Linked DNA regions of Oryctolagus cuniculus. The protein of the gene in region 1 purifies or fractionates together with the protein of each later gene. This does not show direct contact. Links are inferred from orthologs where the notes say so. Each region holds a gene or a part of one and is shown in the gene's direction. Other genes may lie near its edges.

The links.
Region 2: the proteins of VPS72 (region 1) and ACTL6A purify together in Homo sapiens (affinity purification with mass spectrometry; 3 studies listed by BioGRID and IntAct, with this or other methods). This does not show direct contact. The link is inferred for Oryctolagus cuniculus from reciprocal best matches to the Homo sapiens genes VPS72 and ACTL6A.

Annotation. Positions count from the first base shown.
Region 1 is NC_091438.1:46,923,225-46,927,041, forward strand, and holds part of VPS72 (vacuolar protein sorting-associated protein 72 homolog), read left to right. Parts: intron 1-3,234; coding exon 3,235-3,387; intron 3,388-3,817. UniProt on the Homo sapiens protein: Deposition-and-exchange histone chaperone specific for H2AZ1, specifically chaperones H2AZ1 and deposits it into nucleosomes.
Region 2 is NC_091435.1:100,239,684-100,243,500, reverse strand, and holds part of ACTL6A (actin-like protein 6A), read left to right. Parts: intron 1-1,826; coding exon 1,827-1,903; intron 1,904-2,075; coding exon 2,076-2,250; intron 2,251-3,817.

The DNA of each region.
Region 1 (3,817 bases):
AGGAAATGGTAGTTGTGAGTGCAAGATTGAATTCTGGCTGGCTTGGAGTGTCAACCATTTGTTGACTTTTTTTAAAGATTTATTTATTTATTTGAAACTCAGAGTTACACACAGAGAGAAGGCGAGGCAGAGAGAGGACTTCCATCCACTGGTTCACTCCCCAATTGGCTGGAATGGCCGGAGCTACACCGATCTGAAGCCAGGAGCTTCCTCTGGGTCCCCCACCATGGGTACAGGGGCCCAAGAACTCAAGCTGTCTTCTGCTTTCCCAGGCCATAGCAGAGAGCTGGATTGGAAGTGGAGCAGGCAGGACTCGAACCAGAGCCCAAATGGGATGCCGGCACTGCAGGCAGCAGCTTTACCCATTACGCCACAGCGCCAGCCCCCCATTTGTTGATTAATGGACAAATCTGCATCACTGATTGGAGAAAGAGCTGCAAGTCTGAGGTGTTGAGCCCAGTCGACTCCTCTTTCCTAAAGTGTTTGGGCTTTTTCCCCACTTTCTTTCCAAGGTGGCTGCCATTCTAGCCCTAATGTATATTACATTAGAGCTAACGCTTCAGATTTTCTACTCCAGCTCATCAAACTGAGCTCTGTAACTTTCTTAAATATACTTTGTACGTACTTTTTACCCTTCTACCTATTTTTCTCAGTAACTTTACCTCAACAGTGATTATCATGCTGGGACAAGTAAGGAGGAGGTAGTTGAAAATCATTGGCCCTCAGGTGTTTTTTTTTGTTTTGTTTTGTTTTTAAGATTTATTTTAGGCCGGCACCGAGGCTCAATAGGCTAATCCTCTGCCTGCGGTGCCGGCACACCAGGTTCTAGTCCTGGTTGGGGCGCCGGATTCTGTCCTGGTTGCCCCTCTTCCAGGCCAGCTCTCTGCTGTGCCCTGGGAGTGCAGTGGAGGTGGCCCAAGTCCTTGGGCCCTGCACCCGCATGGGAGACCAGGAGAAGCACCTGGCTCCTAGCTTCAGATGAGTGTGGTGAGCTGGCCGCAGCACACGGCCACAGCGGCCATCGGAGGGTGAATCAATGGAAAAGGAAGGAAGACCTTTCTCTCTTTATCTCTCTTTCACTGTCCACTCTGCCTGTCAAAAAAAAAAAAAGATTTATTTTATTTATTTGAAAGACAGTTACAGAGAGAGGTAGAGACAGAGAGAGAGGTCTTCTATCAGCCGATTCACTCCCCAGATGGCTGCAACGGCCAGAGCTACAGCAATCTGAAGCCAGGAGCTTCTTCCAGGTCTCCCATGTGGGTGCAGGGGCCCAAGGACTTGGGCCATCCTCCACTGCTATCGCAGGCCATAGCAGAGGGCTGGATCAGAAGAGGAGCAGCCGGGATTAGAACCAGCGCCCATATGGGATGCCGGCGCCTCAGGCCAGGGCTTTAACCCACTGTGCCACAGTGCCAGCCCCTGGCCCTCAGTTTAAAACTGAAAGTTTATTATCCTGAAATTGTAAACCTCTGCAGAGACAAAGTATAACCTTCTTTTCAAATCTTATAGTCAAAGTGGGACAATTACAGGATAGTCAATGTGGAAAGGTGGCTTCTTGCCAGAGATAAACCAACCAACCAACCTTCTTTCCTTCCTTCCTTCCTTCCTTCCTTCCTTCCTTCCTTCCTTCCTTCCTTCCTGTTGTTGTTGTTGTTGTTGTTGTTGTTGTTTTTTAAGATTTATTTATTTGGGTACGGCACTGTGGTGAAGCGTGTTAACGCCCTGGCCTGAAGTGCCAGCATCCTATATGGGCGCCAGTTCAATTCCTAGCTGCTCCACTTCTGATCCAGCTCTCTGTTATGGCCTGAGAAAGCAGTAGAAGATGGCCCAAGTCCTTGGGACCCTGTACCCATGTGGGAGACCCAGAATAAGCTCCTGGCTCCCGGCTTCGGATCGGCACAGTTCCAGCTGTTGCGGCCAACTGGGGAGTGAACCAGCAGATGGAAGACCTCTCTCTCCCTGCCTCTCCTCTCTCTGTGTAACTCCGACTTTCAAATAAATAAATCTTAAAAATAAAAACTTTATTTTTTAAAAAAGATTTATTTATTTATTTGAAAGTCGGAGTTACACAGAGAGGAGAGGCAGAGAGAGAGAGAAAGAGAGGTCTTCCATTTGATGGTTCACTCCCCAGTTGGCCGCAACAGCTGGAGCTGCGCCGATCCAAAGCCAGGATCCAGGAACTTCTGGGTCTCCCACGTGCGTGCAGGGGCCCAAGGACCTGGGCAATCTTCTATTGCTTTCCCAGGCCATAGCAGAGAGCTGGATCAGAAGTGGAGCAGCTAGGACTCGAACCAGTGCCCATATGGGATGGCGGCACTGCAGGTGGTGGCTTTACCTGTTACATCACAATGCTGGTCCCAACTTTTTGTTTTTCATTTTTTGGATTCTAAAGTGTTATCCACCAGACTAAAACCTGTGCCCCAGATCTGGCCCACTGTTTTGTTGTTGTTTGTTTTTTAAAGACTTATTTTGAAAGAGTTACAGAAAGAGAGGGAGAGACAGAGAATGAGAGAAGAGATCTTCCATCTATACTGGTTCATTCTGCATATGGGCACAATGACTAGGGCTGAGCCAGGCTGAAGCCCAGAGCTTCATCTGGGTCTCCCTCATGGATGTAAGGGTCCAAACACTCGGGCCATCCTCCTGTGGTTTCCCAGGCACATTAGCAGGGATCTAAATCAGAAGTGGAGCAGCCAGAACTTGAAACAGTATCCATGTGGGATGCCAGCATCACAGATGGCAGCTTTACACCTACTCCTGTGCTACCTGTTTTAATCTGGCCCTTTATAGAAAAAAGTTTCCTGATTTGTGGTCTAAAAGATTAAAGTTTAGACCGTTTCCCACCACCAACTGGTAGCAAATATGCCTTCCTCTGATTTGCCATAGTTGCCGTGTTGTACTTTATGTGTTGCCGTGTATTAAAACTTCTGATTGTGTCCTGTCCTTCACTAGACTGTGAACCCACTGAAGGTAGGAACCAAACCGTATGCTCTTGTTCCGCAGTACTTACCACAGTGTTCTGCGGGTAGAGGGCTGTCTGTGGATGTTGCAGGGGCGTGCCAGTAGAACCAGAGGTTGGCTAGGAAGGCTTCTCCCCTAAAAGGAAAGAATAGCTCGGTTGGGAAGGAGAGTGAGGCAGCCCTTATCAGGAAGGTGAAGAAATTCTGTTCCTCGTGCGTGCAGGGGCATTAACGAGTCTGCTCCCAGTAAGCCCTCGCCTCCTTGTGTCCTCAGGAGTCGGGAGATGATGAATATCAAGGGGACCAGTCAGACACAGAAGACGAGGTGGATTCTGACTTTGACATCGATGAAGGGGATGAGCCATCCAGTGATGGAGAAGCCGAAGAGCCAAGGCGGAAGCGCCGAGTAGTTACCAAAGCCTATAAGGTGCAGGGGATTCCTGGTTCCCTTGGACTTTCTGAATTCCTACTCTCTTCTTCATCAGGCCCAGAACGCTCCATATCAGCCCCATTTCTACAGTGCCAGTTTTCTCCCTCTCTTTTTTTTTTAAACCGTGCACAACAATTTATTTATTTATTTATTTTCCGAAAGAAACCTTTTATTTAAGGAATACAAACTTCATGCATTTCATAAGTACAGCTTTAGGAATATAGTGATTTTTTTCCCACCATACCCACCTTCCCCCCAACATTCCCACCTCTCCTCCCTCTCCCATTCCCAGTCCCATTCTCCAAATAACTTTATACACAGAAGACCAACTCTATACTAAGTAAAGAGTTGCCAGTTTTCTCTTGTTAAGATCCTCATCTTTCTCCCTACGTCTTCTGTTCTCTGGTATCTGATTCCAATCTGTCCC
Region 2 (3,817 bases), on another chromosome or scaffold:
GAGATAGGAAATATTATACACATTTTATAAATTAGTAAACTGGGGCCGGCGCTGTGGTGCAGCGGGTTGACGCCCTGGCCTGAAGTGCCAGCATCCCATATGGGCACCGGTTCAAGACCCGGCTGCTCCACTTTCGATCCAGCTCTCTGCTATGGCCTGAGAAAGCAGTGGAAGATGGCCCAAGTCCTTGAGCCCCTGTACCCACATGGGAGACCTGGAAGAGGCTCCTGGCTCCTGGCTTTGGATCAGCGCAGCTCCGGCCATTGTGGCCAATTGGGGAGTGAACCAGCAAATGGAAGACCTCTCTCTCTCTGCCTCTCTCTGCCTCTCTCTGCCTCTCCTCTCTCTGTTTAACTCTGACTTTCAAATAAATAAATCTTTAAAAAAAAATTAGTAAACTGAGTCACAGAGGTTAATAAATTGCCCAAGTTCACATAGCTAGAGAACATTCTTGTGTCTGTTCTTGTGACATGTGACAGTTTCTCAGATTTTTTTTTAACACTCACCCTGGAACACTTTTTTTTAAAAGAATTATTTTATTTGAAAGAGTTACAGAGCGAGATAGAGAGATATCTTCCATTCTATTGGTTCACTCCTCAAATGACTGCAACAGCTAGAGCTGAGCTGATCAGGAGCCAGGAGCTTCTGGGTCTCCCACATAGGTGCAGGGGCCCAAGGAGTTGGGCCATCTGCTGCTGCTATCCCAGGCCATAGCAGAGAGCATGGAAGAGGAGCAGTTGAGACTCAAACTGCTGCCCTTATGGGATGCCTGTGCTGCAGGCTGGGGCTTTAACCTGCTGTCCCACAGCACCGGCCCCTCAAATAGATTTAAGTATAACCACTAAGTATGTAGTTTCTTAACTTTAGTGGATATAACTTAATAACATATAGTGTTTTACCAGTTTATAGCTTATACTAGCAAATGTGTAAGAGCTCCTGTTTCCCTTGAGTCCTTGATAGTACTGGGTCTTACCAGACTTAATAATTTTTGCCAATTTAATGAGGTAAATAATATTTATTATTTTTAAATACTTGAATCCTTTGAAAAGTCAGGACCTGAAAACCAAGGTGCTTTGTTTTAGGAGTCCTATTTTGGATGAAGTATTTTAAAAGTATAATTAGAAGCTTTTCTCTGAATTTGGAAATGGACAAATAGTTGCCAGCTTTCTTCTTCAGCATTAAACTTTATCTCCTAATAATCTTGAAATATGCAGACTTTGATAATACTTTCATTTTGATGATTTTTTTGGCTATTACATTAAACTCTTTATTCTCCAAGTCCCTATTTTTCCTGGAGTTTCCTGATTACATGAAGTACAATTTCTGTTAATTTATGATAAATTGATACTTACATGAACTTCACTCCTTCCCTTTGGGCCACTATCTCTACTTTCCACCATTTCGCCTCTGTGAAGACTGACACTTAGAGTCCAGGTCATTGAGCCCTCTTGGCCTTTGGCTTTTCCGTGGATGTAGCCAGTGGTAGAGTAGTAATTATTAATGAGACCCCCTTTTGTGTTCAGAAGTAACTGCAGCCCGCAACTGATGCTCACAGCTACTGACAGGTTAGCCCATCTTCTAGAACCTTTTCACCAGGTTCTGGTAGCAGTTCCTTCTCTTTGAACCTCTGCTAATACACAACGTATAAATTGTTATATTTTAAGTAAATGAATCTTTGAGATGCATTTAAAACTAGGTTCAAACTAATACTATTGTAATTTTTCATAGAGCTTTTACATATATTCTCCCTTTAAGCTCATTAAGTATTCCTTTAATTTTCATGATACGTGTAAGTTGTTAATGTTAATTATTTTTAATCTTCTCAGATGAAGTTGGCGCACTTGTTTTTGACATTGGGTCCTATACTGTGAGAGCTGGTTATGCTGGTGAAGATTGCCCCAAGGTAATGTAATATTAGAGTCAAGTGAGTATTTGTATAAGGGCCATTTGTGTAGCATTAAATTTATGAAGATATTTGATTCAACACAAAATGGTTAAAGACATTAGCTGAAAAAAAACTTGGCTCCTTGATAAAAGCTGGTGAAACTTGCATATCATGTTTTTGGCCCTTACAGGTGGATTTCCCAACGGCTATTGGTATGGTGATGGAAAGAGATGATGGAAGCACATTGATGGAAATAGACGGTGATAAAGGCAAACAAGGCGGGCCCACCTACTACATAGATACCAATGCCCTACGAGTTCCCAGGGAGAATATGGAGGCCATTTCACCACTAAAAAATGGGATGGGTATGATATTTTTTTCATGGATTTGGTCAGAAAGTACAGGAAACATTCTAGACTTAGAGGAGTGGCTTCTTGTAAGTTGAACATAGTCTTTTGTGGAGGAAGTATTTAGAGTATTCTATAAAATGATGTTCTAGATATGGAAAACAAAGATGCATAACAAATGTTCCTTTTCCTCAATAAACTCTTACTTGGGAGGTGATACAGTTGTAAACATACAAATATAGTTCCCACAGGATAAGTGCTGTAATATAGTTATGTTCATTATGAAATGGGAGCAAAGGAGAGGAATCTAACTTTGTATCACTGGGGAGTCAGGGATAACTTGTAACTGTGCTGTAACTTGTAACTTATGCTGAATCTTGATCAGTGAATAAGAATTAGCCTAGCTGATGAGATTGGATAAAGCAGAGGAACCATCACAAATGAAGTTGTGAAACAAACTGTTAAGAAATGTTAAACAGTTAAGTATGACTGTAATATTGAGAGCGCTGTGGTCAATAGCAGGAAAGGTAGGCAGAGAAGAATCACAGAAGGACTTGGAGAGGTGAAAGTTGTGTGCAGCGAGTTAAGGGATGCCTGAATTCCAATATGGAGAGCCTGCTTCAAGTCCTGGCTACTCCACTTTTTTTTTTTTTTTTTTTTAAAGATTTTATTTATTTGAGAGGTAGAGTTACAGACAGTGAGAGGGAGAGAGAGAGAGAGAAAGGCCTTCCTTCTATTGGTTCACTCCCCAGATGGCCACAATGACTTGGAGCTGTGCTGATCTGAAGCCAGGAGCTGGGCGCTTCCTCCCGGTCTCCCATGTGGGTGCAGGGGCCCAAATGCATGTGCCATCCTCCACTGCTTTCCCAGGGCACAGCAGAGAGCTGGATTGGAAGAGGGGCAGCCGGGACTAGAACTGGTGCCCACATGGCATGCCGGTGCCGCAGGTGGAGGATTAATCTGTGCCACGGTGCTTCTGATCCAGCTTCTTGCTAATGCACCTGGGGAGCAGTGGTTGAAGGCTAATACTTGGGTTTCTGCCACCCACATGGGAAACCTGGATGGAGCTCTTGGCTCTTGGCTCTTGGCTTTAGCATGTTATCTGTTGCAGATTATTTGAGGAAATGAACCAGTAGATGGAAGGTCTCTGTCTCTTCCTCTTTTACTTTGTCTTTCAAATAATCTCTCTCTTTTAATTTCTTGTAAACCATCACAAGGGTCCATTAAGCCAGTAACTGAAGGGTAACCCTAGAAGGGTAACCCAGAAATGTGATATGCTCATGTTTGCCAGTTGGGAAGATTATTCTGAGTGATATTTAGGCTAAATTAGAGGGAGACACTAGACTAGAGACGGGAAAGTCAGTAAGGGAGATGAAAGCCCAAATGAGAAATGAAGTCCTGGTTGCTCCACCTCCACTCCAGCTCCCTGCTGATGGCCTAAGTTCTCAGGCCCCTGTACCCACAGGAGAGACCCAGAAGAAGCTACTTGCTTCGGCTTGGTCCAGCCACAGCCGATGCGGCCATCTGGGGAGTGAACTGGAAGAAGGAAGACCTCTCTGCCTCTCCTTCTGTCTCTGTAACTCTG